Alligator mississippiensis: one gene and its partner. The protein of the gene in region 1 interacts with the protein of each later gene in a biochemical or structural test. Links are inferred from orthologs where the notes say so. Each region holds a gene or a part of one and is shown on either strand. Other genes may lie near its edges.

What was found. The genes of interacting proteins can lie anywhere in the genome.
Region 2: the proteins of TOP1 (region 1) and NCL form a complex in vitro, tested with the Homo sapiens proteins (2 studies listed by BioGRID and IntAct). The link is inferred for Alligator mississippiensis from reciprocal best matches to the Homo sapiens genes TOP1 and NCL.

What each region holds. Positions count from the first base shown.
Region 1 is NC_081832.1:17,919,123-17,929,384, reverse strand, and holds the start of TOP1 (DNA topoisomerase 1), read left to right. Parts: upstream 1-6,253; 5' UTR 6,254-6,381; coding exon 6,382-6,414; intron 6,415-6,690; coding exon 6,691-6,715; intron 6,716-10,262. UniProt on the Homo sapiens protein: Releases the supercoiling and torsional tension of DNA introduced during the DNA replication and transcription by transiently cleaving and rejoining one strand of the DNA duplex.
Region 2 is NC_081830.1:85,136,818-85,146,800, forward strand, and holds the start of NCL (nucleolin), read left to right. Parts: upstream 1-5,452; 5' UTR 5,453-5,544; coding exon 5,545-5,562; intron 5,563-5,914; coding exon 5,915-6,037; intron 6,038-6,777; coding exon 6,778-7,012; intron 7,013-7,695; coding exon 7,696-7,848; intron 7,849-8,325; coding exon 8,326-8,514; intron 8,515-8,793; coding exon 8,794-8,883; intron 8,884-9,012; exon of another isoform or gene 9,013-9,082; intron 9,083-9,187; coding exon 9,188-9,323; intron 9,324-9,983. UniProt on the Homo sapiens protein: Nucleolin is the major nucleolar protein of growing eukaryotic cells. It is found associated with intranucleolar chromatin and pre-ribosomal particles. It induces chromatin decondensation by binding to histone H1.

The DNA.
Region 1 (10,262 bases):
AGTATTGATTAATGTATTCCACTTATGTACATGTTGCATATTAAATGGCTTCTAACCATATGAAATGATACATGTCATTTTTGGATTAAAGACAATTCAAAGTTTCTTGGCTTCATTCTTCTCCTGTGTTTAGGTACCATCCTTTCCATATGACTCCTTGTTTCAATAACGATAATAAACTATGGCATCAAATGTAAACTTTCTCATAATGTAGTCACAGCCAATATCAGCTATTGTTCCCTAACTAGTAATTACCCATGATTACAAACCTCTCCCTTCCTGGATGAAACTCAGTAATTAAAACTGGCCTTTGAAAGTTACCACTCACAATGGAACTGCTAGTTGTGCTGGATCTGCTCCTGCATGCTACATATTAAGCCATGAATAATTGCTGCAATTTATCAAGGTGGAAAATAAGCTTTCAGTAGTGTGGAGATCATTTTGTTTCAAAATATAATATAACAACAAAATACAGATCAGTATAATTGGCATGACTGTTTCTCAGCAGGTTATCTTGGAAAAAAAACAAATGGAGGCAATTATTGATCTGGGTTTTCACTTTTCAAAAAGTTGTTTGGTTACACATATTTACACTGATGTGGAATCCAGGAAATCATGCAGGTATGTCTGGACACAAAAACCTGAAGGCTGGAAATATACCTACAGCATTGCCAAACCCAGACATCTAAGAATCATGATCCCACCCTCAAAATGATAACACAGTCTTTAAAAATCAGTACATTTTGTTTGTGCATATCTTCAGGATCCTTTCTTTGTATTTTATTTTTCTAAGACTTTATGCTGCACTTGCTTCAGAACTACAAAGGCTAGAAATTTAGTTTTTCCTTCAGCTGAAACCTGAAATTGTCCTGAAATCTCTTGATTCTAGTAGCGGGGGTCTCTAAGAAAGGGGGAAAAGAACCCCAGTTATAGGATTTTCTACAAAAGCAGCAGAGGTGACAACACCATACATATACACATGTACGCACATATAATTTTGCATATTCACACATACATGCACACTTTTTTCTCTCTGACTACAGTGTCAAGGATCTGGATCCATGGCTTTATAATCTAAAATGGCAAGGAATTATATCTATTAAAATGTAAAATCTAGTAGCATTATATATAGAAATAAATGTAATCCAAAAGATAAGTAATTCTGGAATTACTGTAGAATTATTTTATGCCAGGTGACATAAATACATGGGTGGTTTAATTTTCAGGTTGCTGATTCAGAACTTTGGGTCACTGCTACCTACATCTTTGCTTTTATCGTTACCATCTGATTTTTAGGCCTGAAACACTAGACTACAGTGCTACTATATTCACTCCCCTACAGTGCTGGTTGACCCACTTTAAATAATGAATTACCATCAATTGTAACAGCATGTACTGAGATCCCTGAGCAGGGGAAACAGCTGCTACACTATTGCAGTCCCTTTCAAGTACAGGGTACAGAGGTACAGGAGAGGAGACTGTTACATGCAGTACCTGGGCACTCCTTATTTTGACCCCATCTGCCCTTATTTTGATCTTGTCCCCAAGGTTTCCCATTGGGTGCGTGCTGCTAGTGATAATATATGTTATCTGAAGGTGAGTGCTCCCCACAACTACTAATTGAGGAGTATGGTGTATAGTGTTCTCCATTTTCTTTGACAGGTGACAGTGCCTTGTGTGGCTTTAGGCACCTGCAGGCACATATCCGATGGAGATAATCTATCTAAGGTAGTCCACTGTAGTGTATTCATTCTGCACCGGTCCTGCTTAGGTGGAGGGCTCAAAGCCACAGCATGTCCTTCTGACTGTATTTGTACATTTGACAAACCTGCCCCTCCCTGTGCAACTGCAAAGATCCCTGAGCACATTAGAAGGATGATGATTCTGCCATGAAGAAGGGTCAGATATGGGGACACTGTTTCTCACCCGGACAGAGGTACAGCAGAAATGGAGGCTACTACTACTGCCCTGAGATCACCAAGCAGCCACAAACCTGGCTTGGGAAAAGACTTTTTGCAGCTCCTCCGAGTACACCAATTAACTTGAGCTGGCCCTGATAACAGGATTTGACCCTTCATTTGACCCAACAGTTAAAAGAGGGAGATGGAACCGCAGCATCCCCAACAGCTTTCTTTAAAACAAGATTCTAATAAGATCTTTATTTTGTGTCTGAGTAGAGCTCTTGAAGACTGGCAAAAGGAAAAGGTATCAAAGTACTTAGGAGCTAAGTGAGTAGAAATTCAACTGGTCTGAAGATTTTAGGGCTTTTTACTGATTTATTATGGTATTCATTGGGATTTATTATTTCATGTAAAATATTCCAGCTATTTCTTTTCAAACCTATCACCTTAGTTTTATTTAAATGATCTTAGGATGCTCTGCCGACCTGTTGAGTCAGCAGACAGACTGAAACAATAGCTCCAAGAAGTGTGAACTTCCAGCATTTATCTTTATGGGGTGTGAACTGTCTTGCTAGTTAACTGACCCTCATCACACCCTCTCTGCTGGCCTCTGCAACTGAGACATCCAATTAAAATGGACTCATGTCCTGGACTGGATTTCTTTTTTTTTTTTGGAAAGATGTTCCACTGCAAGGAGGATGAAAATTTTGAATGCAAGATAGCCAAATATTCCTCCAGTTATTAGGGTAAAAGGCATGCTTGCAACTGTGCTTCTGATTAAGACAGAAAGTTACATCAGCTAAAAACTGCCGGACTCCCCTGGTGCTGTCTATAGAATCTAGAAGGGCACCAAAAAATTGTGAGTTTTCTCTGAAACTTGCTGCAGCAGAAGCAGCTGCAAAAGCATTTCAGTCTGATATGCTTATACATATCTTCTGAATGATGTTTTATTCCAATCCTGCCTCCCCCTGATGGCACAAGAAGGTTCAGCTGAGGGAGAAAAAGGTGTAATATTCCTTCAAATTTCACTCATAAAGTAGTTGAGGCACCAGAATAACTGGGAAGCCTCCCAGGAGATTTTCCAGAGGTTCAAAATAAATCTCCAACATGGTCCTTGGGATTAGCTCCCGCTGGTGCTCAGCTATCCTGCTTGGCCCTTCTTGGAAGATGCTCCCAGAGCCAGCCTTATAGAAAATGGCACCTGGAGTGAACTTGTATTTTGGTGCCCACCCCAACACCCCCACAAGTCAGCAGAACTGTTGCAGGCACAGTCGGGCAGGCTGTGGCACAGGGCACAATCCAGTGGCAAGGTGGAGTAGCATGGTGCGCCAGGCAGGCTCACACTGCCTGGCTCAACTCCTTCTCAGCAGCGGCTGGAGGCAGGGGGCCAGGCTGGGCTAGGCATTCCTCCTCCTGCCTAGGGTAGGGATTGGCCAAGGCGGGGTGGGTGGAGAGCGCCACTATGAGTGCAGGCTGCTCACAAGTGTGTGAGTGTGCACGCGCTCACAAGTATGTGTGCGTGCATGTGTGTGTGCACTCACAAGTGTGCGCGCACACGCTCACAAGCATGTGCGCACACGTGTGTGTGTGTGTGTGTGTGTGTGTGTGTGTGTGTGTGTGTGTGTGTGTTAGGCCTGTGCAAGTAGGCAGCTATTCGATCCGGCTTTGGATCCAGCAGCTTCGGATGCCAGGGATCCGATCTGCAGCTCCAGGCCAGGTTTCCACTTTGATCCAGCTGAAGTGGCCCTGAAGCTTTGAAGCCGCCTCGGAGATCCGGCCATAGGGTATAAGGGGGAATTAATGAAATAGCTATAACTTCAGGAAGCATAAGACTGATTCTCACTCTATTTTCTTATACGAAATGATACTGCTTCTTCAAAAAGACATGTATTTAGAGATTTTCACTATAGCCAATGCTGTGGGAACTAAACACCCCATACTGTCCTGCTGTGACAAAAGGTAAATACGGTAACAAATAAGTGGATACTTAGGACTTCCTGGTTATCATTCTAGTCCCACCACAGGTGCTCAGAATATGGGAGCTGCAGAGCAGAATTCAAATCCTTGTACTTCAGTAGCACAGGCCCTTGCTACTTCTGTCAGAGAAGATTTTCTGCAAGCAACAGTGTAGATGTCTCTGAGACACAATGCAATCCCTTGACAAGACTTATTTAAAAACCTATCTGTTAGTAAAGCATTTTGCATAATAAACAGATTTAGAGCCAGAAATACTTGGGGGCTGTGGGTAAAAAGGAAGTCCTCAGATCCTCTTCTGAAGGGTGTAAGAGAATGACAAGTGTTTTACCCTTACAGAACTATAAATATAACATGCAAAAGGTGACTGATGCTGCCTGCTCACATTCGTGTGCTTTTTTTGAGCTCTTCATTTAGCCTGGTAGCACAGGATTATTTTCATATCAAGTCAAGGCTCCAGTAGTATAAAGGAGCAGGGAAAAGATATACTTCATGTTGTAGTACTGCATGGAACTTGTGATGGAAGACAAGGCGGTCCTCTGAGATATTGTACTAGCTATACATATTAAACTTGTCCATTCAGTAGACCAGAGAGAAAGCTCCTTTGGTACAGACAATTAACAGTTGCAGAACAGAAGCAGATGTCCTTAGGATTTTTTTAAAAGAAGGTACAAGATGTAGCTAAAGGGGGAAAAAATTAAAAAATCCCTGTTCTCCCTCAATTTCCTTGCTGGAAATTAGGTTAAAGGGCATGTCTACACTAGGAAAAAAATCTTTGGGCTGTTCTGAATTTACAATGAAAACTTCTAACTTATGAAGCACTGGTGATTATTACCTTTGTCTTAAAGACCAGCACATGTCTACCCCATCTCCATCTCTGCTCTATTTCTTAGCATTGTGTTTGTTTGTACAGCATCGAGAACATAGCCTTTAATGCTGACTGTGGGTTTAACAATATTATTGTTGTTAGTAGTAGTAGTAATAGTAATAATGATGATACCAGCTTGACCATCTACTCACTCTGTGCATGTGTCCTACAGAAAGGCTATATTTCCCACCACAATAAACTTCCAACGTTAAATATTCATCATCAAATTACAAGTGAGAGGACCTGATTCTCTACCTTCTTCCACCAGTTTGACATTAACGTGACTCACTTACCGTTAGTGGCATGACTGGTGCAAAACCAATACAAGGAAACAGAGAATCAGGTTCATAAGACATGAGAAGTTACAGCTGAGAGGAAAAATGGGAAAAAAATGAAACACTGAGACAAACAATCAAGATCCTATATTGTTATGGCTATGCTAATGATATACTCTGCTATAATTGGGCCTGTGGTTGAATAAAATGAAGGGTTGCAAATGAGGATTAGGTTACATAGATGCCACCATAATATAAACAAACACTACTTACAAGAAACTTATCCACATGCGGAAAAGTCTATTATTTTAACCCCTAATATAGCAGGTGAAGACAAAGAGATGATGTGGGGCTTGATCAACATACAGTTAGTGACAGTCCCTGCCCCAAGGAATTTACAATCCTTCTGATGAAGTCAATTAACCTGAGCCTAAACACATTACCGCTGACACCGGGATCATGGCTGGATGTCTGGTCCGTGTCACTGCTGTCTCTGCAGCAAGCCCAGGTATAGACTCATTTAAGGGGAAGCTAGAGAAGGTGAAAGTAGAGATGTGAGGAATGTGTTCAACCTGTCACCTGCCTTCACTTCCTGGCCCTGCCCCTGCCCCCACCTCTCTACTTCTACCTCTACCCCTGCCCCCTGCTCTTGGGCTGGGGCTGCAGAGCTAGTGCCCTTTCCCACCTGCCCCCTCCCCCTGCTGCGCCTATGCCCCGCACGCTGCCCTGCCCGACCTGGCAGGCAGGGAGAAGAACGCAGGCCGCTGCATCCTGCCTTTGCCCCTTTCATGCCACTCACACAAGCAGCTGACAGCCCAAGAGGGCGGAGCTTGAAGAACCAGGGCGGGGCCCCGTATGCAAATAGAGAACCCCCGGCGGGGAGACGTTGCGCATGCGTATTCAGCGCCGGTTGAGGCCGGCTCTTACACAATGTGCTGCAGGGCGGTAGGCGCCTTCCTGCGCCAGGGCGTGTCCGAATATGCAAATGAGAGCCCGCATCGCCTCGGCGATTGGAGGAAGGGCAGGAAGAGGTGGGACCGGATATGTAAATAAAGCCGGCGTTCTAGGGTGGGGGTAGGGTACACCGAGAACTCAGCCGGCATTTTTCGTAAAGGGGGCGGAGCCTGGCGCGAGCCTTACCCGGCGTCCCGCGCGCGGGTGGGCGGGGCCCGCATGCAAATCTTGGCGCCCGTTCCTCCCTCCCACCCCCGCTTTAAAAGCCGCGGCGCCTGCGCACTGAGGGCAAATAAGGACTTAGTCTGTTACACAAGCGGCTGCGGAGCGAGGGGCTGCGCTGTGGCCGCCGACTCCACTGCTCCCAGGCGCCTCAGCTCTCCCGCGGCCTCCCCACACAGCGGCCGGCATGAGCGGAGACCAGCTGCACAACGACTCCCAGGTGACCCCCCTCGGGCACCGCGGGGCGGGCGTCCCCGCCGGCCCTTCCCCACTGCCCTCGGCCGGGCCCTTCCCCGCCGGGCCCCGGGCCTAGCCACGCCACGGGGAGGGCGCTGGGGGTTTCCTCCCCTCCCTGTGCGGGTTTGGAGGGTGGGGGGGACCCCCCGACCGGGCCGCGGATGGGGTGGGGGGGGCTGCTCCCTTGTGAAACGCAGCCGACATGGAGCCGCCGGCGCCGCCGTAACCCATTGTCGCTTGTCTCCGCTTCCCCCCGCAGATCGAGGCGGATTTCCGAGCCAACGGTGAGTCCGCCCCGGCCCCGCGGCCCCCGCGGCCCAGCTCGGGCACGGCCAGACATGGCGTCCCAGAGACTAAGTCCCGGCTGCTCGCTCACCGGCCCCATTGTTCCCATCGAGCCGCCCAGTGCTGCCGCCTGCTGCCGCCGGGGCCCCCGCCCGCCCGCTCCCCCGCCAGGGGCGGCCCCCCGGCCCCCGCCCCGGCCCCCATCTCGTCCCCGGGGCTCCCCTTGGGCCCCGATTCCTCCCTGGAAAGTCGCCTTGTCGACGGTCGGGACTTAGTCTCTGCGCCATTTTCTTTTTCTCCTCTCCTCTCTCTCCTGTGCGTGTGTCTTTTTCTCTCCTTCTCCTCCTTCCCTTCGCCGCTGGGAACCAGCCTCCTGCCGAGGAACCCGGGCCAAGTGGCCCCCTCCTGCCCTCGCACCCTTCTTCCTGGGGGGGAAGGCGATTATTTTTTTAGGCTAAATCGGCCCCCCTCCCCCTTCCTCGAGCTGCTTTTGCTGCAGCCGCCCCCCTCGGCTCCCCGGCTCCCAGCCTGCCAGTCATTCCCTCCCTTCCCTCGCATGAAAGGTGGTTGCAACATGTTGCTCTTTAAAAGATTCTGCTGCATCCATTTTAAGCCCAGGCTTTTATTTCTTTGAATGGCTTTAACTTTCACCTGGCTGGGTGGGGCTTTAACTTTTATTTTCAGCTTCAGAAAAAAACTATAAAAGACAGCCAAGGCAATGGCAGCAAAGGAGAGGGCATCACTTCAGAAAGTTCACCAGTCCGCTGTTCATTGTGGTGGGGAGGGTTGGAGGAGTTTTATGGGTGGCAGGGGCTTTTTCTTTCTTTCTTTTGGGGGTGGGGGGAGGATCTATTACAGGGTAGCATATAGGTTGCACCTCTTCTCCCCCCCCCCCCCCAACTGGTGGGTGGTATTGTTCAAGGGACTATTATTACCTGCCTCTACATCCATGTGTCACTGTTACACGGTGAGTTACATGAAGAGCTCTGTCCCCTGATTGATGGAGGGTGGAGACGGGGGGAGGACCATGGCCCAGGTGTGTGAAGGTGCCTTGAACTCATTCTTCCCTCACTCTGGAAAGGTCACTGAACTGGCCCCCCACACCTTTGGGGCAGCACTGTTTTTATGAGCCTAGGTTCTTGCCTTCCCTGCCATACTGTTTTGGATACTGTTTGTGTGTCTACCTGCTTTGCAACCTGTTCTTTGTCTTGCATGTGAATATTAGTGTGTACCCATCTCTTGGTACCTGTGCATATGAATAAAATGAAATGGTGTAAGTGTGTGTATGTAACAGGATTGTGGTGATTTAGTTACTCGGTTCTTAAACAATTTTTCCATTATATAGATAACGTGAAGCCCCAAAACTAAATATTTAAAGGAAGAAGGGGAAAATCGCTTACTGCTTGGACCCGAATTGGGTTTCTTAGAAATACTTAAAATATGCATGTGTATGAATTTTTGTAACCTTCATATGCAGATAAATATTAGGGGTAATTGTAGTCAGAAAAAAAAGCCTCAGTTACTTGCTAATTTACATATGTGAAGTGATGCATGTCGATCCCTCTATCCCAAATTGTGGTGACCAGCTTAACTGGGATTTCCCTTCTAACATATTAAGGCTAGCTCTGCTTGGTTTCTTTTGTTCCTAATTAGGGATGCTTTTAGAAATGCAGTGCTAGATGCTCTTAACTCTTAGCCTTTTCTTGTCCCCGCACAACTGCTGAAGGAAGTCTGGTACACAGATTTAAACTAAGAACATGTCGGGTACCTCTGACACTGTACACCGGTGAATTAAAGGTGTCTGAATTTCGGGCAGTGAAGGCATTGTAGACTTCTGCCTTCGCATTGCAATCCCATATCTTCCTTTTGTTGTCAGTAGACATGACTAGCTAATTTTTTTTTTATTTTTTTTTATTTATTTATTTTTTTATTTTGTCCCTTAGTGGCCCAGGAACTCTTCAGCAATGAATGATGCTTGTAACCCTGTTTGGCTTGTTAGGAGAATAGCACTATTAGTAGCCTGTGTCTTTTCTGACCTTGCCAAAGCTTTAACTTCTGGGAACATGGAGTTTTTTTTTTCTCTTCAGGTTCTTCCTTGCTTCTATTGCACAGTAATATCCTTTGCTTCTGTCACATAGCAATCTTAGAATATCGTCTTTCATTTTAGGCATGGTGCTGGGGCTCTGCTTTTTATATACTTGTTTTGATTTTTTTTTTTTAATTAGTGCTGAGGATTGGGTGGGGAGTAGTAAGACTCCCACGGATATTTTTTTTCCAAACTCTTAAAAATGTTGGCTACTTTACTCTGTTCTGTGGGCAACAAATGTGTGCGTCTCTTTTTTTTTTTTTTTTTTTTCCAGACCCTTTGCTTATTACAGTTACAAGGCTGAAGGGAAGTTTCATTAATCCATAAAATATAAGTATTAGGCAGAGATGCCTTCTTAGGAATAAAGAATATATTGGGTATCTTCTGATTTATAGTATTTATAATGCATTGGCTACATACTTGCAATTAACTATTCTTATTATGACAAGGAACTTGACATTTGATCTGGAGACGCACTTGTAAGGAATGATTCGGGTATAAAAGGTCCTGCTGGGTATAAGATAAGGATGGAGTAGATGACCACTCAGAGAAAGAGTTGGGAAGGATCTGGTTTTTTTTTAGTCTGCACTCATGCAACCTTTTTATTTTAATCACTTCATCCATCTTTGTTAGTTTGCAGTATATGAAGGTGGCTCTTCTAATTTTAAGGGAGACCTTCCAGAAATACTCAGGTTATGGTTCAGAATGTAGCAGTGTTGTCTCGGAATACAGTCCAAATAAATTTAGTATTTAACTTGATGTAAAGTATTGCAATATTGGAGGCAATACTGTACATAAAACAAGGTCCTGACTGTTTCTGGCTATTAAATAATCATACCAGTGTTTGTAGGACTATCCTGGGTGAATTCCTACTTGGTCAGCTGCAGCAATGGAGGTAGTTAGACCAATTTAATTTGGCTATAGTATTTTTCAATGGTTCTTTGGTGTTACTATGAACTGTTAGGAACTTAACATGTTTGGTCTTAGAAGTGATGACATGTCCTTTTGTGTAGTGAAGTGATTTAATTGCTTAGTGTATAAATGCATTCTTAGCTGATGATGTTGTAAGCGGTGCACTGTTAAAACACCAACCTGAAATATATTTACCATTTTAGAAAATATCTTCATCACAGTATGTAAACTTCTTATTTTCTGGTGCAAGATGTCATTTTAATGTACAGTTATGGTCACCGTCTGAAAATGACACCTTGTTCAACAGATGTATACTGAGACATACCTGCATGTATTGAGGGCAAAAAAACCTTACTCCATACTATTCGTTTTTTCTTGTAGAGATAGTATAGATTTGAAATCTGGCTGGATTTTCTTGGTCTCTGCTTAATAAATAGTATTGAAAACTAAGTTTCAGTTAAAGAACTTCTTATTACTGATGAGAACAGACAGGTCAGAAGGAATTTAAGTTTGACTTTCAGTTCTCCCATTGTGTTTGAAGAACACAA
Region 2 (9,983 bases), on another chromosome or scaffold:
GCTGTTTCAGAGGCTGCAGGCACAGGTTGCCCCATAAATCCCTATGCATCATCTTTATAGACAGGCCATTGTGTTTTAGGACTCGGGCAGCTTTGGAATAAACCGTGGCACTTGGCGGCATGAGTTATTGCTGCTGGGCCAGCTCCCAGCGGAGGATTTACCCTGGCACAGAGCAGGGCTGACGGTGCTGCAGCCTTTTGTCACCATCTAGTGGGAGCATCGAGTGCAGATGCAGCCCTCCGCCGGGTGGATGTACCTGCCAGGGGTGGGTGCCATCGACTTGGTGTGATGGGTCACACATCACGGAGCTTGCTGGGGCACCGAGCCCAGCCCCACATCAGGCAATCCCCCTTATAAAGACATCACCCTAAATGCAACGGACTTTTTACCCCATGACACCCTATGGGATGCTATCCCAGAACCCGGGCCTTTCTTCCTCTGTAATTCCTAGCCTCCGGGCCAGTTTAACCTGCTGTGTGCTGGGGCCAGCAGCATCCCTCATAGCTCTTTTGCCTCCCATCATCTTGCACTGGCTTCTGCATCCTAGATGGCACCTGCTCAGGACACGGATGACATGCCCGGCAATGGTGCTTGGAGGCACGGTGCTTAGTCCACGGTCCCGATTGCCCATGGAGATCAAAGATCCCTTTTAAACGAGGAGGGTGCAAGCTGGAGGACGGTGGGGAGAACCTGGATCCTGTTCTTGGATCTGCCACAGACACACGTGACCTTGGTCAAGTCCCTTTGTCTCTCTGAGCCACTGTTTTCATGTGTAGCACAGGGAGAGGCAGCACCTCCCGCGGTTGCAGCAGGGACAAGCCCAAGGCCTCCTCCCACTACATAGGGGTGTGGAAGGTGTGTATCTCTAGCTACAGACCAGGCTAGAGCATAAACTCAGGGGTCCTGCAGTTCACAAGCTCATTGTCCCATTAAGTACCCGTGAAGTACTCAGAATAGCACTCCCCCATCCCAACAATAGTGTCTAATTCAAGCTAATTGCCATTCAAGCAGCATGTGTAGTCCCTCCTGTTTTGATGTGAGGCAAAGCCTGGGGCAGTCAGCCCTGGGATAAACCCGCTGCTTTTATCCAGCGTCATAGGCACACACACGGCATCCAACCGAGAAACCTTGCAGTCTAATGAACTGACTGTGGGCCTGGACCCAGAACACCTGAACGGCCACTGCTTCCCTCAACGGCCTTCGGTAAATGCCTTTGCCTGTCTGTGCCTCAGTTTCCCTGGGGGCCAGCCGAGCAGTCACTGCTCTGTGTCCACCGCACAGGACCCGGAGGACAGCTGACTGCTCACCTATGCAGTGCCAGGGAGAAGTGATGCCTTTCAAAGCACTGGGGGGTTTTGCTGCCGGGGGATCTGAAAGGTGGCCCTGCATGAGCTAAGATGCAGGGGAAGGGCCCCCGGTTCACCTGCCAGGCCCTTGGCCAGGCTGGAGATGAGTCCGGGCATGACGTTAGCAGTCCCTCGACTGAGGATGATCTCTGACACAACTCATGGATGGGGCTTGAGGTGACTGAAGAGTCCAGGGCTTGAGCCGCAGATCCTGCAGGTTTTCTGCAGGGGAGAGTAGGCTGCCGGCTGGGATTGCTCTCCCTTTCCTTCCTCCGTTCTCTCTTCTCTGCTTCAAGGGCAAGACGCTTTACCTCGAAACCGGCTGCTGCTTGGTTGAGGTTGTGGCACCGCTGGGGCTGCATCACAGCCTGCTCCTGCCAGCTCTTGATGTCGACATCCGTCCTCTCGAGGTGGGCACGACATGACCGCGGTCCTGAGCCCTTGCGGCGTGGGCCCGGGGCTGCTAGAGGCAGGGCAATTTGCAGACTCAAGGTCCCCTCGCCAGACTCAAGGCACCCTTCAAGCTTGATTTCCGAGTGCTGAAAAGCTTTCTTTTTGACTGCTGAAAAAATACCGTTTCATATTTCACCGACAAGCACCTGCCGGGAAAAGCATTCTGTCTTTTTACTGCTCTGTGAAACATGAAACGGCACAACCCGAAAGAAATACGACTGCCTCCTGCTTGCCCCCAGATAACTTTGAGGCAAACAGACTATTCCAACGTTTCTCTGAGCCTAACCTGCATAAAATGAACGGTGCCAAACCGGAGATTTTACCACACCTTTAACTCTCCTAGGAAATATGAACTTTCATTTCTACCTGGGAGAATTTGACAGTCTTTTCTCCGATGCCTGAGGACGGGTGTTTGTGCCCGTAAACTTGCAAGGAAAGGAATTTTTTTTGTAAAAAAAATCTAGTTGGTCTAATAAAAGATATCGCCTCTACGAGTCCTGATTGCCTCTAGACCAATACGGCTACAACCTGGATACCTTGCCTACACGTGCACCAAGATGCCCTCTCAGGCTAAGGTGATTCATGAGTCGCCGCATGAAGGCCGAGGGCAATTTTAGTCCCCAAGCACATGGCACAGCCCCTCTTCCAAGCAGCCCGTGAGTGAATAACTGACTGAGGACACAGTCTCCCCACCTAGCCCGGCCCCCCTCTCCGGCTGCCACCCTGCTCCTATGGGGAGCATGGGGTCTCCATGGTTTGGGGGTTTTTTGCAATATCTTAGCTGGTCTAATAAAAGGTATTATCTCTGAACTAAGAGCTCTAGAGTTTTGCACATCTATATATGCCAGTAACGAGTCATTGTCCCCTGGCAGGGGTCATGTGGATGTACAAATGCTGGGGCAGGTGCCGGCAGAACCAGCCACCAAAGCAGCCTGGGGAAGCCAAGGCCTTGCTATGCTCTGCTCTGCAAGGGCAGGTGTAACTTGGAGGCAGGGGCTGGGCTATAGAGTTGCTCCAGGTGTGGACACATCATCCTTTTACTGGGTAGGGCCTAGATTCACCTTCTCCCACTAGCAGAATCTACCAAGAGCAAGAGCTGCTAGAAGCACGAAAGCCTTCACCCCTCCCCTCCGTGGGCCATGGGGACCACCTCTATGGCATTTTGGTCAAAAAAACCCCAAAGCCTGCTTGCATGATTTCTAAATTAGCCATTCTGAACGCAACCCGCACCATTGGGAAATCCCCACTGGCAGCCATGGAAACTCCAGCTCTTTGCTGACTTTTCTGATATTTGCAAGACAAAGCAGATGCAATCTGCGTGCTCCTATCACGCTGCCTTTACTGTATTGTTTTGGGGTTAGGCGGTTACACAGCCGGCTTCCAGCACACTGCGTGGTACGGAGGACGCATCTCAGATTGCAGGCAGACTAGCATGTCCACACACCCAATTTTACAGAAAATGAATTGATGTGAACTACCCAGAGCAGGTTTGCTAGTGATCGATACGGCTTAATAAAGCAGGTTACAGATTGACACAGCGGGTTTGTTAGAGATTAAAGAGATTAGACGGTTAAAATAAAACTACTGCTAAGTGAGAGTAAAATTTCACAGCATTTGAAGGAGGGACTGTCTCTTACTATGAGCATATAGAGGCCCTGCACAACCGCTCTTTGATCTGGGTTGTTCCCCAGGTAGTAGCAATTAATAGCTTTTGTGTTGTCAGCCAACACTTGTGGGATTCCCATGGGCTGCTCCGGGAGCCGGGTGTGTTTTCCATAAACATGTGGTAGCAAAGGGCATTTACTAGATCAAAGACTCCTCTCTGGGTTTTTTTGGCTATCTGAACCCAGGACTCTTCCGCATTAATTGCCATTGGAGGTGAGCAGGACTCGCGCCAGACCCGTCTTCCTGGAGGAAGAGGCAAAAATAAAAGGAAGAATAAGAGGAGTAGAGACGGAAGGAAATCATGAACGAGAGGGGTGGGAAAGGAGGAGGGAAAACAGATCTTTTATTCCTAAATTTTTATCAAGCAAAAGGAAAAAATGTATCTATACCAACGAAATCTGACCCCTTCCTCCCCCAAAGTGCCAAGATGCTATGAACAGGCCATGTTCTTTGGGTAGATGCGAGATCTGTTATTAGACCGACTAAATAGTTGGAAAAATTGCTCTTTGCGAGCTTTTGGGCACAAACACCCTTCTTCAGGCATATATAGACTCTGCCGGTGAATTGTGCTATGACTTCTCTTATGAACATCACTATAGCAGCTGATTTTACATAGAAGGGATTTAGCTCCTATGGTGCTGGGCGGCAGGATAAATCCCTGCGGAGGGCTCATCCGCACAAGCCGCTCCCGAAGAAGTCAGTAATGGTACCTGGCTACTCCGTCCAGGATCACGCCTGGCAGAAGGCAGGGCTGAGTTCAGCCTTGGAGAAGCTTTCACAACCAGCAGCCCACTTCTCCAAGTGCTACAAAAGCCCCTTTATAGCAACTGGTTAGTCTGTAAGGTGCACCTCCCCCCCCGTTCAGACTGCGGACGGCGACCCCCTCCCTGCGCGGAGCCGTCCAGGGAAACCTTCGCACTTTCAAATCACGTCCCCTCCACGATTCGCAGGGAGAGCGAGCCCTCATCCGTGTGCGCCTGTGTGTGTACGTATCTACACCTACGTGTGTCCCCCACGTAGTTAACACACACATACACTCATATAGATGCACATGCACACTCATCTATATATATATATATATGCACATGAACACACACATACACACACACACGCATCAAAACACGGGCAGAGAAGGTTCCTTGGGTGAATTTGATCTTTTATTAGACCAATATGCATCAACACACACATCTACACACACGCATCAACATATACACACACACATCTACACACACGCAACATATGCACACATGCATCTATACACATATACACATGTATACACACACACCTACATGTATTATACACATGTACATACATCTACATACATATCTACACACGCATATACACGTACACGTGTGCATCTATAGACATGCATGAATGCGCACACACATACACATGCACGCATCTATACAGGCACACACGAATGCACACGCACGCACACACACACATGTGCAGACAAGGTTCTTTGGGCACACGCTGTTAGCCCCACTCCAACAGCTCCCCGCGTCTACACGTCCCCATCTGGAAGCTGCACACAGACGTGTCTATTTCGGGGTATCTATCTGTTCCAGGCACAGCCCCGGGGCGGAGACACCTGCACACACACGTACACCCCTCCCCCCACGGACAGTGTCAGGGCCCAGGCGCGCGCAGCCCCCCCCGCTCGACCCGGCCCAGCCCAGCACCCCCAACCCAAGGCCCAACCCCACGTGGTCCCGCAGGCGCCACGTGCTCGGCCCCTTCCCCAACCCCCACGCCCCGCCCAATCAGCGCGCGGGAGCCTAACATCGCGCCCCGCCATTGGCTACCTCTCCCCCCCTCAGCACTTCCCTAGAACGCGCTTCCCCATTGGCCGGCGCCGGAAGCCGCGCGGATTGGCTCGGCTCCGTCCGGGGGGAGCTGTGCCGATTGGGCGCCGACCCTGCGCGGGGGCGGGCCGGGCCGCGGCGCGGGCTGCGATTGGCTCCAGCGGGGCGCGGAGGGCGGGGCGAAAGGCGGAGGTGGGGAGGGGCGCGGGGACGCCGCGCTCACTCCGTCGTTGCAGGCCGAGGCGCCAGTCGCAGCCTCCCGCGCCGCCGCCATCATGGTCAAGCTCGCCAAGGTGAGGCCCGGCCTAGCCTGGCCCTGCGCCCGCGCCCGGCCCCGGGGAGGAGAAGCGAAGGGGGAAGCGGGGGGGGGGGGGAGCAAGACCGCGGTTGGGGGGGCGCGGCCACGTGGTGTCCCCGCGCACGTGGCCCCCCCCCCCGGCCGGGCCTCGTGGTGTGGGCCGCAGGGTGGGGGGGGGCGGGAAACTGCACCTTGGAGACTGACTGGAGCAGGGCACACGTGTTGGGGGGGCAGCCACGTGGGGGGATGGGGCCTAGCCTGGGGGAGGGGGGCAAATTTATCCCGAAATTGGAGGGGGGGGGGAAGGCAGACGCGCCTGACGCGCCGGCTCCTTTCCCGTCTCTCAGAACGCGAAGAATCAAGTCAAGCAGAAGAAAGCTGCTCCTGCGCCGCTGCCGCCGCCCAAAAACGTGGACGACAGCGAGGAAGAGGAGTCCTCCGAGGAGGAAGAGAGCAGCAGCGAGGAGGAGGTGATCGCCCTTCTCTCCCGCGACTCGAGTCGCTTCATCCTTCCCAAAACGGGGAGGGGGCCTTAATCCTTCCCTAAACCAAGCGGGGGGGGGGCACTTAATCCTTTCCTAAACTGGGTGGGGGGAGGGGGTGGCAGAAGCAAAGAGCCATTATTTGAAGAGGGGTATTTTGGGTCTTGCTGAATAACCTTATGGGGGGGGGGCGGGGGGGTCACCTTTTTGGCTGCTTGGTTCCAAAATGCATTTAGTCCGTGGTACTTGCGGGGCCCGGATGTGGTCTGCCGGCAACGGATTGAGCATCTCTGGTGTAGCCTTTTGTATCCGTCCTCCATAAAGTTGGGTGCCTTAATTATCCTCCCCTCCCCCCCCCCCCAAGTTTTGCAGAGCATCACAGAGGACACTGTTCATAGCCACCTTGCTGACAGCTCTGAAAATTGGCACGTCCAGGACACGATTTGTCCCGGAGTTACCGTGTTACGGGAATGAACAGGCGTGATGATACAACGCGCGCAAACGTAGCGTGCGTGTTCCTAATCCGCGCGCAAATGAAGGGTAGCTGTTAACGGGCAGAGTGGCTCGGCCCTTGGGCAGGAAAGGCCAAACCTCCAGCTTATTAGAGGCCCCGGCACATGGTCTCATTTGTGGGTTGTGACTTCGGTAGCTGACAGTTTGAAACCAGCTTTCTGAAGCACGTGTAGGAGTTGCTTAATCATTCCTCGCTCGGTGTTCCCCTCTCTAAGGTGGTGGTTCCTCAGAAGAAAGTAGTTGTGAAAGCAGCAGGCACACCTGGCAAAAAAGCAGCTGCAGCTGCCTCTCCTGGAAAAAAGCCTGCCCCTCCTGCTAAGAAGGTAGCGACTCCACCGGTGAAGAAGGCTGCTGCTCCGGCCAAAGGAGCGAAAAATGGAAAAAATGCCAAGAAAGAGGAGAGCGAGGAAGAAGAAGATGATGACAGCGAGGGGGATGAAGAGGACTCTGGTAAGACAACAGTCATGCAGTTCTCAACCTTTTTACTCTCAAGCCACCTTCCGTAACTCTTAGGAATTGAGCGGCATCCCATTCAGAAACTAATTTCTTTATTGCAGTGCTTACCACCTGGCAGACGGCGCAGGCAGGCGTAGATTCATAGATTGGAAGGGGCTTCGCAAGATCGAGTCCAGCCCCCCTGCCTTAGGCAGGAAAGACGACTGGAATCAAGAACAGGAGGTGGAGCCTGCCCTTAGCTGCTTCTCTCCTCTCACTTTCTGCAGTGCCTCAGGGTGCCTGGGCACACTGGTTGGGCATCGCCAGTCTATCAGTAGTTTGGCTATCTTCAACGAGTACACTAAGATGGTCCAGTCCAGCTGCTTGTGCATTTTCCATCGCAGCTCTGTTGTGCAGTTCAGCACATCTAGTAGTCAAGTGGCACAGGTCTGGCGTAGCATCAAGATGGGGGCAGTGAAAGAAAGATAGGCAAGCTTAATGTTGGAGCTGTATGGAAGCACATGGCATTGGCTCTGTCAGTATTTACGTGATGCTTAAACTGACGATTAGCCCTCTGTTTCCAGAGCTTCTAACTGGACCCAAGTTGGTGAGATGTTAAAGTTTCAGTCAAGGCTGTAGTAACAATAACGTGCTCGGTTGTAGTTTGCAGAACACTGAGTAATTGGCTGTTGTTACAGATGAGTCCGAGGAGGAGGAGGAAGTCCCAGTGCCTGTGAAGCTTGCAGCCAAAAAACCTGTAGCTGTACCCGCCAAAAAACCAGTCGCTGTCCCAGCGAAGCAAGAGTCTGATGAGGAGGAAGATGACGAGGAGGATGACGATGAAGAGGATGGTATGTAGGCTGCGCTTGGTGTGACAGGGCTGAGATGAGGAGCACATGGTTTGAATTGGCATGACTTGCTAAGAGGGTGCCAAAAGACTCCTTAACTTCACATTTTTAAAGGCAACTGCTTATTTGTCCCATTTAGGTCTAAACTAGTGTTTATAGGGCTGCAAGAGCTTAGTGATGGAGCGGTTAACATGTTACTAGTGGGTTTGGAGCACTTATTTCCTGTTGGCGCTTGCAGAGCTTCTTACCATTGGATGGTAGGACTTACGATATCATGGGTGGCACTTAGAGGCGCCCAGCCAAAATTGGTTTGTGCTAGGTATCATGGAGATGCATTAAGAGTTCTTTTTTTTAGAGCTCACAGGCTTAAATGAACAAGATGAGTTGACTGTCCCATTCCCCTCAAAGGGGATTGACGTGAAGTCTCCTTGGTATTGCACAAAATTGCAGCTTGTGTTCTAACATCTCTTATCACTTCAGACTCTGACGAGGAGGAGGCCATGGACATCACCCCAGTGCAAGTGAAAAAAGTAGCTCTAGTGAAGGCAGCTGCTGCTGCAATAGCCAAGGCAGATTCTGAAGAGGAGGATGATGAGGAGGACGATGATGATGATGATGAAGATGACGATGAGGAGGATGATGACGACGATGAAGAGGATGAGGGGGGAAGTGAGTTGAACGTAGCTGTGTATGAATTTGTGCTGTGCAGTAGCACACTGCTGTCTTCTAGAGCAGTTACCATTCGTGAGCAAGTTGTGTCGGAAGTCCTTGATTTGCATAAAACTGGAACTGATGAGAAGTGTTTGAAATGATGATGTGATGGAAATCACACATGAGCGTTTCTCAAGATAGTCAAGTACTGATCCAGTTTGAAAGACTGGTTGTTACTGGTGCCTTAAACCTTGGTTTTTATTTCAACATCTTCCTGTCTTTTCCTCTGTTCCATAGAGCCTGTGAAGGAAGCATCTGGGAAACGAAAGAAAGAAATGGCCAATCAAAAGAGTGCCCCAGAAGTCAAGAAAAAGAAAACAACTGAAGGTAGGTTAGAGAAGCAGCAGTCTGAAAAAGCTTCCTGAGTCTCCAGCTTAGCCTTTAAAGCACTTCTCAAGTGTGAAACCCTGCTGGATGGGGAGTTTGTGCAAAGGCTTTGACTGCTGGGGGGCTGTCAGCACAGGTGATGAGTACTAGGGACTTAATACTGAAGCCTGATGTCAGGTTTTTTTAAAATCTGATGTGCTGAAGTCTGGTGCAGTCAGTGAGTTACAACAGGGTTGCATTTAAGCCGTACAACTTTAGTGTGTGCGTGTTTTTATTTATTTTTTTTATTTTTATTTTTTTTAAGAAAATGCTGAAGCTTTCTCCCTCTTCGTTGGAAATCTGGACCCCAACAAGGACCTGGAGGAACTGAAGACTGGCGTCAAGGATTTCTTTGGCAAGAAGAACCTAACAGTCTTGCAAGTCAGAATCGGCCCGTCCAAGTAAGTTCTCTGCTAAACCTCTGCCTGCTGATGTTTGGAGTGGTGAATATAAATTGCAGGTGTACTTGGTTAGCAGATGAACGTGTAATGAAAGAGGAATAGTTGGACAGCGTGCAAAACTGCCTGAGAAGGTGTGGTTGATCAAAGAGGTGGGGTTTCCCCTGCAACGCATGTTAATTTATTTGATTGTCACTGCCTCCTAGTCCCGTGGCTTTTCTCTAAGCATACCTGTCAGGCAGAGTAAAGAGCCCAAGTGAATTTAACCAGGGAAACGCAAAAAAAGTCACTCAAATTTTCGATTACCTTAAGGCAGTGGTGTCAAACATTCAGCCTGCAAAGCCGTTCAGTCTGGCTGGCTGGTAATCCTGTGAGTTATCAGAAGTTGGCGGTGTGGCCTGTTTGACATGCTCACATGGCAGCAAGCTTCCAGGCTGACTTTGGTGTCCAGCCACCGGGCCTTTGCTGCTACCTCAGTGTGCCCTCACCTTTCACCTACCCTGTGTTGCTGCCTCAGTACAGACCTACTACAGTTGTGTTTTCCCCCTCAGTGCTGAGCACTGGAGGGGAAGAGCCAGAGGGCACTGCTTTTTTTTAATTCCCTTAGGCAGGAGGTGGCCAACCCGTGGCACAGGCTACCTCCTGTATGGCACACGTGATATT